Diceros bicornis minor: one gene and its partner. The protein of the gene in region 1 interacts with the protein of each later gene in a biochemical or structural test. Links are inferred from orthologs where the notes say so. Each region holds a gene or a part of one and is shown in the gene's direction. Other genes may lie near its edges.

Region 1 (7,822 bases):
GCCTGTGAGTGTGCCCTGGCTGTTGGGTTTGCCTTGAGTGTCGCCTCCCAGGCCTCGACTTGCCCCAGCTCTGCAGTGGGCACGTGGGAGCACATGCACCCCCCAAGGGGCGCAGGGACGTGGAGAGCTGCGAGGGGCGACTCCCGTGCTGTCCTGCGGCACCTCGTTTGCACCTCCGGGGTCCTTTCCCTCACCAGGCCCCACCCGAGGACCCGCTCAGCCCAGCTGTGGCAGCCACACTGGTTCCCGGGCCCCGGCTCAGCCAGCAGTTCTGCTGACCCTGCAGGAACTGCTCATTAAGCTAATAGTTCCCAGAGCTCCTTGACTTCAGTTGATGGTATCAGCCCTGCTGGAGATCCTCGCCGATAAGGCGCTCCCCGCCTGCTCCGGGTGATTTGTTATTAAACAAACACCGCTGGCTTCATTATGAAGCCAGCTCGGCCCTCCTTGGAGGTGCCAGCATGTGTGGCTCTGCTCCAGGCCCCGGCTGCCCAGAAACGGCGCCTGGCGTCCGTGGTGCCCGGGAGCCTGGCTGCGGGGGGTGTGGGCCTGGCGTCTCCTCTGCCCCATCGGGACTCTTTCCACCATCTGAGGGGTGAGGGTGGGGTGCTTCCCAGCTTGAGCCAAGGGGTCCTGGGCTTGAGGAGGCCCCAGGCCCTCAGCCTGGGGAACAGCAGCCCCTGTTTAATCTCTTTCTTCTCACTCCAGAGTTACCGAGGTGCTCATTCCCCCCATTGTCACCTGCATATGATGAACAGCGTGAAGTGGTGGCTTTAAAGCGAAATCTCTCCCTGGGCCTCGGCTCTGCGAGCCCGTCCCTGAGAGGCCCCCTCCCGGTGGAGGAGGACACGCCTGCGTACTCGGCCCTGCCCGCTCCCAGCTCTGGCTCCCCGGTGCCCCCACGGGCTCAGCAGAGGCTGGTCAGGGCTTGACGGGCGTGGCCCCTTCTGGGAAGAATGGCAGCTGCTCTCCCTGGGCGCTGGTGCGGGCGCTCCCGAGGGCCTGGGGTTTCCCTCCCGGGGCCCGGCAGCCCCTGCATGTCAGTGCGGTGAGATGCAGCCTGTGGAGTGAGAAGGCACAGGCAGCAGAAGGTTCTGGAGAGCTGTCTGTCTTGCTTTGAGTGAGCAGTCAGGTGTGTCGCTCTGTGGGTGGTGCACACGTGTGTGTGCATGTGTTAGTGTGAGGGACAATGACTGCCACACCTCTGAGGGCCTTTTTGGGCCCCATCCCAGAGAGCCCCCCCACCCCTGGCCCCACCCGGGGCTACCTGGATTTTGGAGTCACGGGCCTGGGTTCGAGGTCCAGCCTGGGGCGGCTAGGGCGCTCTCCAGCTGAGTGACCCTGGGCACATCCCCCTTCCCGTCCCGTCCGAAAGCTGCCCTGCTGTCTCCTGCAGCCTCGTGGTTCGGAGGCGTGGGGGCCAGGGCTGAGTGGAGACACCCCCTCCTCCCGGTTCAAGGCCCATTTTAACCTGAAACCTTACACACGTTGTTTATGCAGTCACACACGTATGCATGCGCGTGCACAGACGCTCAGACACGTGAACTCACACCGGATCTCTGACTCTAGTCTGCCGAATGGATGGGCTGGGTGTTCACAGCCCCTCAGTGTGCCAAGCAAGACCCTCTGAGGTTTTGGAGTCTTGCTGGGTCTCAAGACCTCGTAGGGTGCTGGGGGCAGGGCTCCAGGGCGGGTGGGCATGGGGGGAGGGGAAGCCCCATTGCCTGACTCCCCAGGACGCAGCCGGGATCTGGCCCTTGGTCTCCCAATATGGGGACTGGAAGGAGAACCATCTGTCCCCATCGGAGGTATCTTTGAGGGCCCCAGAGGGGTGCGTTGGGTGACATCGGTCCACAGTGGGCCCTGGGGGAACCGGGTTTTGTTGTCTCAGACCTGAGTCTGGACCTGGCAGGGCCGCTCTCGCCCTGCAGGAGACTGCCTGCCTGGCTGCTCTCATTCCCCGGCTCTCCACAAGCCCTTTCCTGGCCACTGGGCCCAGACTGGGCCTCCCCGCCCGGGAACCTGTGATTACCTTCCTTATTTCTGTGCTGGTTCACTCTCTGTCCCCCCAGTGGGTTCTCTGTGTGTCCCCAGATCTACAGCAGTATCTGGTGTGAGGTGAGGGGCTCATGGTCACCCCTCATTTGAAATTCCATATCTTTTGATGTGGCCTGGCTATACAGAGCCTTTCGGGATTTCAGAGAGCCAACGGTGGCATGACAGCTCTAATCGTGCTTCTTTGTCACCCCCAGCCTGTCCCCGAGAGTCGGCTGGGCATTGTGCTGGACACCAGGGGTGGGGCATCCAGACACCATTGTGGCCCCTTGGAGCCCATGGTGTGGTGGAGACCCCGGCGAGTCTGCAGGGTGGGGAACCGGCAGTGGCAGGACCTGGGGGGCCGGATGCCCATCAGGCTCAACCCACAGAGGGGCAGGGCCAGAGGGAGCGTGGATGCCGCTGGGCCGCACGTTCTAGGAGAGGGTGCTGCTGAGAGGGGAGGCTGCCCGGCTGGGCGGCCGGCTGAGGGGTTGCCGCAGTCATTGAGGGAGGTGGCAGCCAGCGGCCAGGGCAGAGTCCCCTCTGCTCACTCCTTTGGGATGTCTCCTGAGGGCCTGGGGTGAGGCCGCGTCTGGCCTGAACAGCGGGCAGCTGTGCTGGGAGACTTAGCCCCCAGAGCTGAAGAGAGAGTGTGCGGGTGTCGGCTGGTGTGGGGCCCTGGGCAGGCTCTGGAGTCAGCGGGTGCTGGGGCCCTGGGCATGTCGTCCCAGGGACACATGGCAGAGGGCATGTGGGCTGGGCATTTACCTCCAAAGTTGGCCCACCGCCCCCATCGGGCCCCTACCCCAATGAAAGCTCCTGCCTCCTGCTGGCCCGGTGCGGGCAGCCAGCTGTGGGGCTGGGGTGGGGTTCTTGCTGCCCTGCTCCCCCAGGGGTGGCCTTGGGTGAGTCCCTGGCCCTCACTGGGCCTTGGTTTCCTCCTCTCTGGGGTGGGCTTGCCGTGAGGGCTCATGTCCCTGGAGCACGAGGTGCCCTTGAGTGGCACCTGCCGTCCCCGGCCCACTCTTGTTTCTGCTTACAAGTCAGCAAAGGCGTGCAGGCCGCAAGTGGGCCGGGCTCGGCTGGCCTGGGAGGTGGGGGCGCGCTTGCTCCGCCTGGCTGGCCGCCGTGGGGACAGGGAGACGACCCGCGAAGGGGCCCCCCGGGCCTGGGCGGGCAGGGCGCCCTGGGCGCTCGGGGCTGTGGGCGAGCCCGGCGGACCCCTTCCGCTGCCACTCCACTTGCTGGGCCTCCCGGGGCTGGGGAGGAGGCCCGGCCTCCGCGGGCGCTTTCTCTTTCCAGAACACCGTCTCCCCCCGAGCTTCGCCCCGCAGGTCCGCAGGGAAGCCTCAACCCGGTTCACGGCCGCGCACGGTGGCCCATTTCTGGCCTGGTCCCCGCCATTCCCGGGGCCTGCGGCCTGGCCTGGGGAGTGGGAAGCAGGCTGGGCGTGGCCTTTGCACCTTCAAGGTGGCCCCACCCTTATCTCTGCGTGCCCTGAGGACGAGGGCCGTTGCCCAGGTCGGGGGGTTGGGGGTGCCGGGGGGCCGTGGGGCCGTGAGCCCTGTGCCCCGACCGGCCTCTCCCCGCGTGACCGCCGGGCGGCGGACAAGTTGGCAGTGGCCCTTGCCTGGGCGCTGCTGCGTGTCGAAACCAGTCGCTGACGCGGCGGGCGGTGTTGAAATAAGTGCTCCTGGGTTTCCCAACATCCTGCCAGCCTGTCACAGGACTGGGTGTCAGGGGCCTGGGTGCCAGGCCCAGCCTGCGCCTCCCTCTTGGGGTGTCGGGCTCCCCATTTCCTCCCCTCCCCTTGCTGCCCGAGGTGCTGGCAGAGTCGTGACACACTAGAGCAGGGTGACATTACTCTGGGCCCACGTTGTCTTTGTGACCTGCCCCTTTTACAGAGGTCAGGTGGCTTTGGAGTGGAAGGCGGGATTTGAACCTGGGCCTTGGGGCAGGAAGGAGGGTCGGGGAGCAGAGGCAGGCCGAGGATGGCTTGCCAGCCCGGTGGGCACACAGCGAGCAGGTGGCAGAGGGCGGCAGCCAAGGGTCCCAGCTCCCTGTGCCCTCTGAGGGACTGTCCTGGCGTACTGGGCTGCCCCCTCTCGAGGAGATGGTGGGAAGAGGGGAGCCCTGGGCAGCACTGGGTGGCGCCCCTCTCCCTTTGGCTGGCGTGAGGCCTGGCTCGTGGGCCTGCACTGCAGGGGGGCAGACAGTGGCCACGGGGGCTGCACATTCATCGATTGTCCACGTGCTCCAGGCAGTTGACTTTGGAGGGGTCGGGGGGCCCTCCCCTTAACCTCCTGGGGTGGGCATTCTCATTCTCAGTGTTGAGAGGAGGAAACCAGAGCTCAGAGAGGCCAAGTGACCTGCTGGGGGCGTCCGGTTCTGCAATTCTGAGCTGTGCGACCTCAGGCGAGTAGCCCAGGCTCTCTGATCCCTGAGGGGACTCTGCTGGCCTGGGCAGGGAGCTGGTTGAGGATGCTTCTGGAATCAGGCCCTCTGGGTGAAGGGGAGGAGGAGAGGGGCTCAGGATCACCCTCGCACTGCTGCAGACCCCTATCAGGTCCCCTGCCGGGTGGGGCCTGGCTTCTAGGAACTGTGGTCAGGCCTCACCCCTACTTTGGCGTCTGCCCGTCGCCTGTCAGCAGGGGAGGGGCCTGGGGGCAAGTCTCTTATAGATGAGGAAGCAGGCGCCAAGAGAGGGTGAGGGGCTGGGTCTGGGCCACACAGCGAGGCTGCCGCCCAGCCAGGGGCCCATGTGGAGGCGGGTGTTGGGAGAGGCGCTCGGTAAGGTGGGAGTTTCAGTGGCCGGGGTGGGAGGACCATGTGGGTTCCAGCCGGTGGCAGCGAGCACTGTCACTCGGGCTGGGATGACAGTCACGGGAAGAGCAGTGACCTCCGAAGGGGCTCTCGGTTGTCAGGCACCTGCCATGTGCTGGAGTCGTGGCCGGTGCCTCCCCGCCATAGCAGCCCAGGCCTGCTGGGCGCCGGGCACATGCTCAGCTCACCCAGTCATCCTAGAACAGCCCTGTCTGGCGGGTTTGTGAGCCCATTTTCCAGATGAGAACACTGCGGCCCCGAGATGTGACGCCACTGACTGTGGTCCCTGGCCGGGGGAGGTGGGGCTGGCCTTGGACCCGGTGCCTCCTGGTGCCAGGGGTCCCTGCATCTGTCTGCCGCCTTCCCTGGGGCTGCGGCTGTGGTGGCTGCCCTGGGGTGGGCATGTGTGTAGGTCTTTTCTATCTCCCAGCTTGTGGACAGAGAGCCGAGGGGTTGGTTTGGAGGATGTAGGAGTCTACTGTGCTGTAGCTGGAGGGAGGTGAGTAGTGCCTCCTACAGGAAGCCTTCCTTGATTGATGTCTGCACCAGGACAGAGTGCCCCTCCTCCTCGTGCTGCATCACTGACTGACTGGGCTCTCTCGGCTCCGGGAAAGGCTGTCGTCTGACTCTGGACGGGGTGTCCCTGGGCAGGCCCGGCCTTGCTCATCTGCCTGTTCCTAGCATGGGGGCGGTGGGACACAGGTGTCCCCTAGTGAGTGCTCTGTGTGATGTGTGAGGGGGGCTGAAGCCGAGGGCACCATCCCTTTGTGGGGACAAGGACTCTTAGACCCAGCGGGGTTGAGTCAGATGCCCGGGGCCCCACCCAGGCATGAGTCGTGCAGCAGCCAGGACTCGAACTCAGGTCTGCTAGCTCTGGGCCACCTGTGCCTCACCACCTCTGTTCACCATCTGTGGGGACGGGTGAGAAAGGGCAGCTTCAGGGTCACTCGTCCACTTCCATTGCCTCCTGACCACTTCCTTCGTATGTGACATCTCTTTGCAGAAGAAGAAATAAAGGCTCAGAGAGGTTGCTTAATCTACTTGGAGTTGGACAGCTTGTCAGTGCCTTAGGGTCTGTTTGAAACTTGGTGCTTGCTCAGCTGGTTCTTAAGGACTGTGGTGAATCCTGTAGCCTGTGTTCACCCATTGCTAGCTCTCCCACCCCCACCCCATCCATCCATTTAGTAAGTCTTTATTTGGCACCTGCTGTGTGCCAGGCCCCAGGGGTGCTCAGTGAACCAGTTATAGTTCCTACCTTCAGGAGCCCCCAGACCTTGGCAGGCGCAGACAAGTGGGCTGGGGCCACCCTGCGGCATGGTGAGTGCTCTGGGGGTACATAGTAGAAGAGGCCTCTGCCCTGGCTAGGAGGATCAGGAGGGCTTCCTGGAGGGGGTGTTGTTTGAACTGAGCCTGGGTTGGAGTGAGCCAGGAGACAGATAGGGGGAGTTTCAAGCCCAGGGAACAGCATGTCCGCAACTACAGGCGAGAGAGCTGGTTCCTGGAAATGATCCAGTTCCCAAGGCTGGGGGTGGAGAGTGGACAGGCCCAGAGAGCATAGGGCAGTGTGGGGAGGGGTGGGAGCCCCCAGGGCGGGTGAGGAGGAGCACAGGAGGTGCTACTGTGGCTGTGGTTGGCTTGGCACCCCAGGAGACCTTCCTGCCTCCAGCATTGCAGTGGTGCTGGGCACTTGGCTGCCCGGTCAGGGTCAGGGAGATGGGCAAGCTTCTTGGAGGGAGGCTGAGGGGTCCCCTGGTGGGCCTCGGCCCTGTCTGGAGCTCTGGGGTTGGGATGCCACAAGAGGTTGGTCCTAGGTGGCTGGCGAAGGCTTCCAGGCAGGCCCCGGCCCAGAGTAACCCCGGTTCATCCCGGGGTCAGCCCAGGGACCGTTCTGACGGGCTGGCGTTAGTCTGGGCCGAGCCATGCTGGGTCAGCCAGCTCACCTTACAGCCGAGGACACGGGCCGGACGGTGGGCGCGGGGCTGGGCGAGGAGCTCCCGGCCCTCCTGGGGCTCCTTCCAGCTCACACTGGGGGAGGGTGGAGGAGTCTGCGGCAATGGGTTTGGAGAATATCAAACCTGTGTTTGGCTAGGAGGGTGCTTTTGGTGGGAGAGTTTGTGCAAGTGGCTGATCAGGGATGATGCTGAGATTCTGTAAAACAGCTCCCCCCAAAGAAAGAAAGAACTCCAAAACCAACCACCCTACAACTCTGTTATTAACACCAAACAGAGGAAGTAAAAACCGGCCATGGCGTGCCCCCCGCCCAGGGTTAGTGCTGCGGGCCTTTGCTGTGGCCCGGCCTTCCTCCACGTGCGGATGTCTGGATAATAGCGTATCTCGGTATTTATTATTTTATGGACAAAGATGGAATGCCGATTTTTGGTTTCTGTCAAAGTTGGGATTCCCCCTTCCCCAGTTTTTGGGGAGGAAGAAGTTGGCCTCTTGCTGAGACTGGCCAGGCCTTTTCCAGGCCAGAGGAGGAGAGAACCGGAGCGTTCTCGGAGACTTTGGCTCCAGGACCCGGGGTCCTGCTCTGGTCACCACCCTCCCGCGCCTCAAGCAGCACCCACCACCCTGTGGGCATGGCCCGGGGTTGGGAGATTCTAGGGGCTTCTGGGCCCCAGCAGGGTGTGTGTGGGGTGTAAGTGTGTATGTGCTGATGTCCGTCCATCTGCGTGGAGACCCCTAAGTGGTCTCCGTCCCCTTGTTGGGGCAGAGGTTCCCTCCAGTGCCCCTGAGGTTACCCCGCTCCTCTGGCCTCCCCCACCCTCGCCCTGCACCTCGGGCCCAGGCAGCCCTGGGTCCCGGTCTTGTCTGCCACTGACCAGCCAGCTGTGTGGCCTTGGGCAGGTTGAACTTTGTGTCTTTGAGCCTCAGTTTCCCTTCTGTAAAAAGACAGTGGTGCTTGTAGGGTTTTTGGAAGAGCTGGAAGAGGTCTGTGTTCTAAAGTGCCCAGCGCAGGGTC
Region 2 (8,068 bases), on another chromosome or scaffold:
GCTTCACAAGTAGTGCGTAGGTCCGCGCCCGGGATCCGGACCTGCGAACCCCAGGCTGCCAAAGTGGAGCGCGCAAACTTAACCACTCTGCCATTGGGGGGGGCCCCTACAAACATTTTTAAAAAAATGACTGAACTTTTTATCTTCCTGATGGCAGAAAATTTAATCTAATCATATTCTCAGTTACTTTAGGTTTTATTTCCATTTTGGTTTTGGTCATCATTGCAGGTTTTAAATCAGTCAATATAATATTCATTCTCCCTTCCATCTAGGGCCAATTTGAAGATCCAAGGGGTTAATAGGGCCATGGCACGTGGACTCAGAGACCTGAGTCCTTGGGCATCTTTGGTTCACGGTGGCATACACAGAATGTGCCTTGTCTCCATTGGTTCTTGACTGTTGGCATCTCTGTGGAAGCCACCGATATAATCCAAGATGGTCTTTGATCCCTACACACTACATCCTCCTTGTCCTAACCATGAGGCCTCAAGTCATCCAAGCCTCTCAGCTACTACTGAAGGTACAGAATCTTTTCCTTGTTCCTCTAAAGCTATAGGAGATTGGGTGAAGGGATTATCTCAAACCCTCCTTGCCTAGCTTTGTATCACGATCTCTAAGAGTTCTATTCAAAAATGATTTTGTTAAACTTCCCTGGAAGTTCTAGAATTTCTATTTGTTACTACCTTTCAAGGGGTGGGCATGAGAAATCCTCATTAGCATCTAATGCTCTTGCTCCCCTTGCAGACTCCCTTGTCTTCCAGACAAAGATTCTTAGCTCCAATTCTTATGTCCCCTCTCAGAGTGTTACCACCCAACGTGGGGCCTTCTGCTCGCCGAAAGACATGCCAATAGTCAAGAAGCAAGGTGGTAAGAGAAAAAGGACTTTTTTATTACTTTTTTATTTTAGGACTTTTTTATTTTATTTTTATTAGCAAACTTGCTAGCAAGAGGGAAGATGGCAGACTCACGTCCAAAAGAACCATCCTAAGGGGGCATGAAATCTTACAGCAGTTATATAGGCCATTGGGTTATTGCGGAGGGCGTTAGGAATGTTGACCTTCTGGTGTTACAGACTGGGAGTGCCACATCAGATCTTTCACTTTTCACTGATGATGGCTATCAGCATAGATTCTCTGTTTGAGGGTCATCGCATCCTAAGGAACTCAAAAAAGCAGTTATCATCTTATCACAGCTGGGAGGTACGTGCACAAGCAGGGGTCGTAAAATCTACAGAGCAGTTAGATCTTGTGGGGGAAGAGGGAGAATCCCCCTCTGCCCTTTCCCTTAAGGTTCTTATGGCTGGCCAAATCATTAACAAGACAGGTTAGCAGGAGAAAATAATACCAAGTTTAATAACATGTATACATGGGAGAAACCAGGGACACTGCGTTTCTCAACACAATAGCAGAAATTCTCGTCTTAAATACCATGTTCAGCCAATGACAAAGAAGGATGTTGGGGGTGGGGGGAGTCAGTTACAGGAGATTACCACTAAAGCACAGTAAACAAGAGTAAGGTTATTATGCAGATTTAAGGCCTCACTTTCCACATTGATAAGTTTCTAGAAATGAGGTCATCCCCCCTCTTCCCAACACAGAGAGGGAGATACCTTTACAAATGGAGATTTCCCTTATAAATGTAAATGTTTGTCTGGTGACTCCTCACAGGGCCATCCAGAGAATGTGGCCAGAGAGACAGAACATCTGATAAGATGGGCTTGTTGCTGCCTTTCCTATTGTAACATCTATTTTACATTATATTACAGCCATCAGATGGAAGATCTGTTCCAGGAAGGAATTACTATGGCAAATTCTTTAGGCAGTTAGTGGGGGAGGTCAAATGTCTGTCAGAGAAAACAATCAAGGTAAAGAGATATATTTCAGGGTGGCCAAATCTTGATCTCCCACAGTCTCCTGGAGGGTGCATATCCAGCTGGGTTAGTTTGTCAGAGGTCATTCAAAGTTATAGTAGAGTTTTTCTTTTCTACAATATGGCTTCCCTTATGTCAACCTTTCTTGAGCCAGTATCAAGAGGAGGTGGTAGACGTGGTGGTGGTGCAGTTTAGAAAATGGTAAACTATCCAATTAGGCTGAAGTTTTGATTGGGTATGGGAAAGCAGTGATGATCAGGTGCAGTGGGGAGCCATAGAAATTGTAGAACAAGAGAGGGGGTTAAATTCAGAGCTGTAATTAAGGAAACATAATCTATCAGTAGTGTGGATCTCTGTGAAATATTTTTGCAACACACTTGGGAGGACAACAATATCTAGATAAGAAAATCACATGATTAAAATACCCTAAAACAGGGGCCGGCCCAGTGGCCCAGGCAGTTAGGTACGCGCGCTCCGCTGCAGCGGCCCGGGGTTTGCTGGTTCCGATCCCGGGCGTGCACCAACGCACTGCTTATCAAAGCCATGCTGTGGCAGCGTCCCATATACAGTGGAGGAAGATGGGCGTGGATGTTGGCCCAGGGCCAGTCTTCCTCAGCAAAAAGAGGAGGATTGGCAGATGTTGGCTCAGGGCAGATCTTCCTCACACACACACAAAAATAAATAAAATAAAATACCCTAAAACAATAAATTCATTTTCTGGACTTAAAAAAATCCCCAGAAGCCATATATATTTGGACAAAGTAAAACATACGATTGTTTTAATTACACGAGACTAGGAAGTCTAAGAATACGGAAGATAATTTTCTCTAAAACTATTTATCCATGATAATTTGAGAAACTAAACTAGTGGGTTGTATCAAATTACATGGAACTCTCTCAAAACGAGCCTCCTCAATTTACCTCTCACTCCTTCTTTCTCCACCACCATCATTCGAAGGAATAAAAGGCGCTTTTCTTTAGTCTGCTTGAATCCTGTATACCTCCTTTGTAATGAATTACTAGCATCTTAAAATCATTAACTTAGAATTTGCTTTTCTAGTATATGAAGATTTTCAAAGTGCAGCTACAAAAAGATAGGGTACAGAATATGTACCGGGGAAGGGATGATGAGCTTTGTCTGGGGTGGTTTAAGGGGACAATAGGTAAGTCTGAATTTTGAGAGAAGGGCATTCCAAAACAAAGGGAACAACATGTGCAAAGGAGGAAGGCGTTAAAATTGCTGGAGGGTAGAGTATGCAAGTAGTGGGAGCTTCAGCTTGAGAGGTGAATAGGAATGAAATCACAGATGGAAGGTAGGTGGGTTAAGAAATTTGGGATAGGCCTCTGTTTCTCTAAGGGTGGTCCTGAACCACCCAGATCACAATCATGAGGTGCTGCTAAAATTGAATACGGGGATGGGCCCAAGAACCAGTTTTTGAGTAATCTTGCCAGGTGATTCTTATGCAAACTAAGGCTTAAGAAACTGCTACTATACAAAAGAAATAGCCTTTGAATGTCATTAAGAAAGAGAACTTCACTCTGGAGGCCTATGGAGACTGGATTTTAGGCCGGTGGAGACTGGTTGGGAAAGAGGCTGGTAGCAGAGGAATACCTTGGGAAAAGTAAAATCTTGAGGGAGGGCCAGGATGTCTCCAGTTTGCCCTCCCCCATTGCCATTTCTTCTTCCAGGATCATTTCAATTCTAACAAAGCCTTTTCTGAGACCATCCCACTCTCCTCAAAGGTCCAGCGCCACTTCATTTGTACTTAAAAATGGCACTTGCATACAATTTTTTTTACAGTCATGTGTGTACAAAAGCTTTGTTTTCCCCATCCCGTTTCTATACTTCAAGCTCCTTAAAATCTTGGCCATTTTTTGAGTGAAAATGTGTGTAACTTCTGATACAAGTGTGTGTGGGGGGCGGGGGATGAAAAAGAATACTGAAGTTATGAATTATTTGGACATCAGTGTTGACATTTATTTTTATTTCTTGTAATGATGCCATATTTATGCAATAAAGACATTTGCAGGGGCTGGCCCGGTGGCACAAGCGGTTAAGTGCGTGCGCTCCACTGTGGCAGCCCAGGGTTCGCCGGTTCGGATCCCTGGCACGCACCGATGCACCGCTTGTCAAGCCATGCTGTGGCAGCGTCCCATATAAAGTAGAGGAAGATGGGTATGGATGTTAGCCCAGGGCCAGTCTTCCTCAGCAAAAAAAGAGGAGGATTGGCAGATGTTAGCTCAGGGCTGATCTTCCTCACAAAAAAAAAACCAAAAACAAACCAAAAAAAGACATTTGCAATCTTTATATATTAATTCCTTGGAAAATGAACCATTTTTATTCACTTAAAAAGCAAATCCTTTAAAAATTCCCCACTTGCAAAAGAACCTCGCCCCTTACTCATGCTCCATCATTCATCACAGAGATGAGGACATTCAGGTGGCACAATCCATCCTGCCTTCATAATCCTTTTTACACAACATTTTCCCATTTTTAAAATTCTTTCCTTGTTTGCTCTTCACTATCTCCACTTCGTCCTCCTCTGACCCTCCTACCATATTTACTGCTCCTACAGGACCCCTGTCTCTAGTAGTAAAACCACAGTTTTCGAAGCAGTTACTTAATTAACGGCGTTCAGCAGACCCGGTGGAGCTCCGCCCCATAGGAGGAGCTCACACAGGCGGACCGAATTAAGTGCTCGGTCGTGAACAAACGAACCCTTAATCTTGACCAAGGAGCTAAACACACACAAAGGCCCAATCAGAGGACGCGGTTCTAGGAGCCCGGGGGGGCGGGGCTGGGCGAGCGCCCTCCCACCTCCCAGCCTCCCACCCTCCCGCCGCGGCCGTCGGAGCCTCGCGGGCTTCAGCAGGCCCCGCCCCCTGGCGAGGCGCGGCGGCTATTGGGCGGCTTGCTCCTCGCCTTCGCCTCAGTTGCTGGGAGAGGGAGGGCGGGTGGAGGGCGCGAGGTGAGTTGGGGGCCCCGAGAGAAAGGCGGGGAGCTGAGGGCAGGCTGGGCGGGTTCGACGAGCGCCGCGGCGGTTGGCGAGGCGGACGGGGCGCAGCCTTCCCGGTGCGAGGAACGGTCCTCGCTGACAGATTCCCTTCTTCCGGCCGCGCCACACTGGAGGCGGATCCGCGGGGCCTGAGGAGGCTTCCTCGGCCCGGCCCTCCCTCCCTCCCTCCCTCTCCCGCGGGTCACCCGAGCGGCCTGTGAGGAGGCGGAGGAGGAGGTCGTCGGGGGCTGCGCGGGCGGAGACCGCGCTCCCCCTACCCCGGCGGCGGCGGGGGCAGGACAATGGAGGTGGCTGTGGAGAAGGCGGCGACGCCGGCCGCGGCGGCTTCGGCGGCGGTGGCCGCCGGGGGGCCCTCGGCGGCGCCGAGTGGGGAGAACGAGGCCGAGAGTCGGCAGGGCCCCGACTCGGAGCGCGGAGGCGAGGCGGCCCGGCTCAACCTGTTGGACACTTGCGCCGTGTGCCACCAGAACATCCAGAGCCGGACGCCCAAGCTGCTGCCCTGCCTGCACTCCTTCTGCCAGCGCTGCCTGCCCGCGCCCCAGCGCTACCTCATGCTGTCCGCGCCCCTGCTGGGCTCGGCCGAGACCCCGCCGCCCGTGCCCGCCCCCGGCTCGCCGGTCAGCGGCTCCTCGCCGTTCGCCACCCAAGGTGAGAGGCGGGCGGGGAGGCGGGCGCCCCGGTGCGGCGCGACCCGCTGGCATGTCGCCGCCGCCCGGGTGCCCGGCGGGGGAGGGGCGGGGAGGAGGGTCTGTGTTGGCGGCGGTGACATGGAGGGCCCGCGCGCTCGGCGGCGTGCCGCGCGCCCCGCGAGCAACTTCCACGGGCGCCGTGGACTCGGCGGCGCTGCTGCTGCTCCTGCTCCTCGGCATTCTCCTCCGGGGCTGCGTGGCCCCGCCAGCCGCACTTTTGAAAACCTCTGTCGGAGTCCGCTGTCGGCTGTATCTCGGGTTCTCCGCCGACTGCATCTAGTTAACTGCTAACCTCTGCCTCCCCAAAGCTTTGTCCAGGTCCATACGATCCTAATCATCTCCTGTAGACTCCCGTTATTTGAGCTGGAGGGGGCACGGGCGGGATGAAGATGAAGTGATGGTGACTTTCTTTGATGATTGATTACAGATCGGATGCCGTCTGTTTTCTGTCTTACACGTTTTGGGTTCTTGACCTTAATGAGTCCCCACTTCTCTTCTCTTCCCTCTGCTGGGGACAAAGGAACTAAGAGACAGTGTTTTGTTGTCTTTCTCTTTGAAGGTTTTGAGACTGTAAAGGGTAAAGAGAAATAGAACAAAGTGATTTGGGTGTAGGATTTTCTTGTATTTTGTAGACAACAGCTGGAAATGTTGAACTTACTGTTTTCTTTGTGGTGTTTGTTACTGTGTAATGAGACTTTTGACGGGTAGTTCCTATTGCTAACGTTAACAGGTTTGAAACATTTCAAGTTAGTTGAAGTAAGCACGGTAATTATTTGTTTCTAGTAGAATACTTGGGGTTTTTCTATTTTAATATTGCGAATATTTGAGCACCTCCTTTTAGACAATACAAAGTAACTGGAAGAGGGAAATAATTCATTTTTAATATATACTTCCTTTTTAGAAGGACTAGTTGATTTAATTTGAGATAAAATTCTAATTAAATGAGCTAGGTCAAGGGGTATATGAAATTGATGTTTTAAATAGATTGTGGTGTTGGACTCAATTAATTGTATGTTAGGAACAACATCTAGTTGAGGGAAACAATTTTCCATGGGTCTCTTTCTGTTTCTGCAGGTCTTGCCAGTGGAGGTAGTGACTGCCCTTTGTTTCTGTTTTTAAAGGATGTTTGTATAAGCAACAGCCTTGGAAGATAGAGATAGTGTCTTCCACCAGAGCAAAGAGCAGGCATGCATATGGTCCAGTATAAAAAAGAGAAATGTCTCCTGGAGTAAAAGGCAGGCATGCTTATTGCCTATCAAAAGATGAGGGTTCTCCAAGCTTAGGTTTCATCTCCTGTAACACAACCCATTGCCTGTGCGGGTGTCAACTGGCCCTCTTTACTTTGCCAGTGGGAACTGGGGCTCTGGTAACGAGTGCAAAACTGTTGATGCTTTGGCTTATGTTTTTACGGTGAGTAAGCAACAAGCTGCCCTTTGTCTCTGACCCCTGAGTCTCATGTCTTCTACCAGCATCCGTGGTAAGCTACTTTGTTAGCATGCAAGTAGGGTAAAAATCGCAGATTCTTCACACTAGTTTGTTCTGATGTGGCCCACCTGTTGGAAAGTTAGTACAGGTGAAACTTTATTTCTAGGGCCAGCCCGGTGGCTTAGCGGTTAAGTGCACGAGCTCCACTACCGGCGGCTTGGGTTCAGATCCCGGGTGCGCACCGTCACACTGCTTGTCCGGCCATGCTGAGGCCACGTCCCACATACAGCTACTAGAAGGATGTGCAGCTATGACATACAGCTATCTACTGGGGCTTTGGGGAGAAAAGGGGAAAAAAAGGAGGAGGATTGGCATGGATGTTAGCTCAGGGTTGATCTTCCTCACACACAAAAAAATCTTAGTTCTTAATTTCTAGACATTTTAAAGTTTCTTTTATTCGTATTTAAAATGGTTAAATAGGCCAATAGCCAATTAGGATCTGAATTTTGCGTAATTCTAGAATTAAGATTTATTGTGTGCCTGGTGATGACGTTTAGACCTGAATAAATGAGAACATGGGCAATAAGAGCTCTGATCTTCAATTCTGAGACAAGTTTGTTATTCCAGATGTCTCAAAATGTTCTATGTAATTCCAGTCTCCAAATGTCTTTGCTCTTTGTATTGTAAGCAAGAGTTCAAGGAAAGCATTTAAATTAGAAGATAATGTTTTGTTGTTTTTTGTTGTTGTTTTTTTTTTTTTCTGAGGAAGATTCGTCCTGAGCTAACATCTGTTGCCAATATTTCTCTTTTTGCTTGAAGAAAATTGTTGCTGAGCTAACATCTGTGCAAATCTTCCTCTGTTTTGTATGTGGGTTGCCGCCACAGCATGGCCTCTGACAAGTGGTGTAGGTCCGAACCCAGGCTGCCATAGTGGAGTGCACTGAACTTAAAAACATGGGGCTGGCCCCATGTTTTTGTTTTCATACTAAGAAAGAAGAAGGCTTTAACAAATGATACTTTCACATACTCCTCTAAAAAAAGAGAGTTATCTTCAATAAATTAAAAAT

The links.
Region 2: the proteins of RXRA (region 1) and TRIM24 form a complex in vitro, tested with the Homo sapiens proteins (3 studies listed by BioGRID). The link is inferred for Diceros bicornis minor from reciprocal best matches to the Homo sapiens genes RXRA and TRIM24.

Annotation. Positions count from the first base shown.
Region 1 is NC_080767.1:41,224,124-41,231,945, forward strand, and holds the start of RXRA (retinoic acid receptor RXR-alpha), read left to right. Parts: upstream 1-4,773; 5' UTR 4,774-4,796; coding exon 4,797-4,827; intron 4,828-7,822. UniProt on the Homo sapiens protein: Receptor for retinoic acid that acts as a transcription factor.
Region 2 is NC_080742.1:86,360,020-86,368,087, forward strand, and holds the start of TRIM24 (transcription intermediary factor 1-alpha), read left to right. Parts: upstream 1-4,847; 5' UTR 4,848-5,168; coding exon 5,169-5,535; intron 5,536-8,068. UniProt on the Homo sapiens protein: Transcriptional coactivator that interacts with numerous nuclear receptors and coactivators and modulates the transcription of target genes.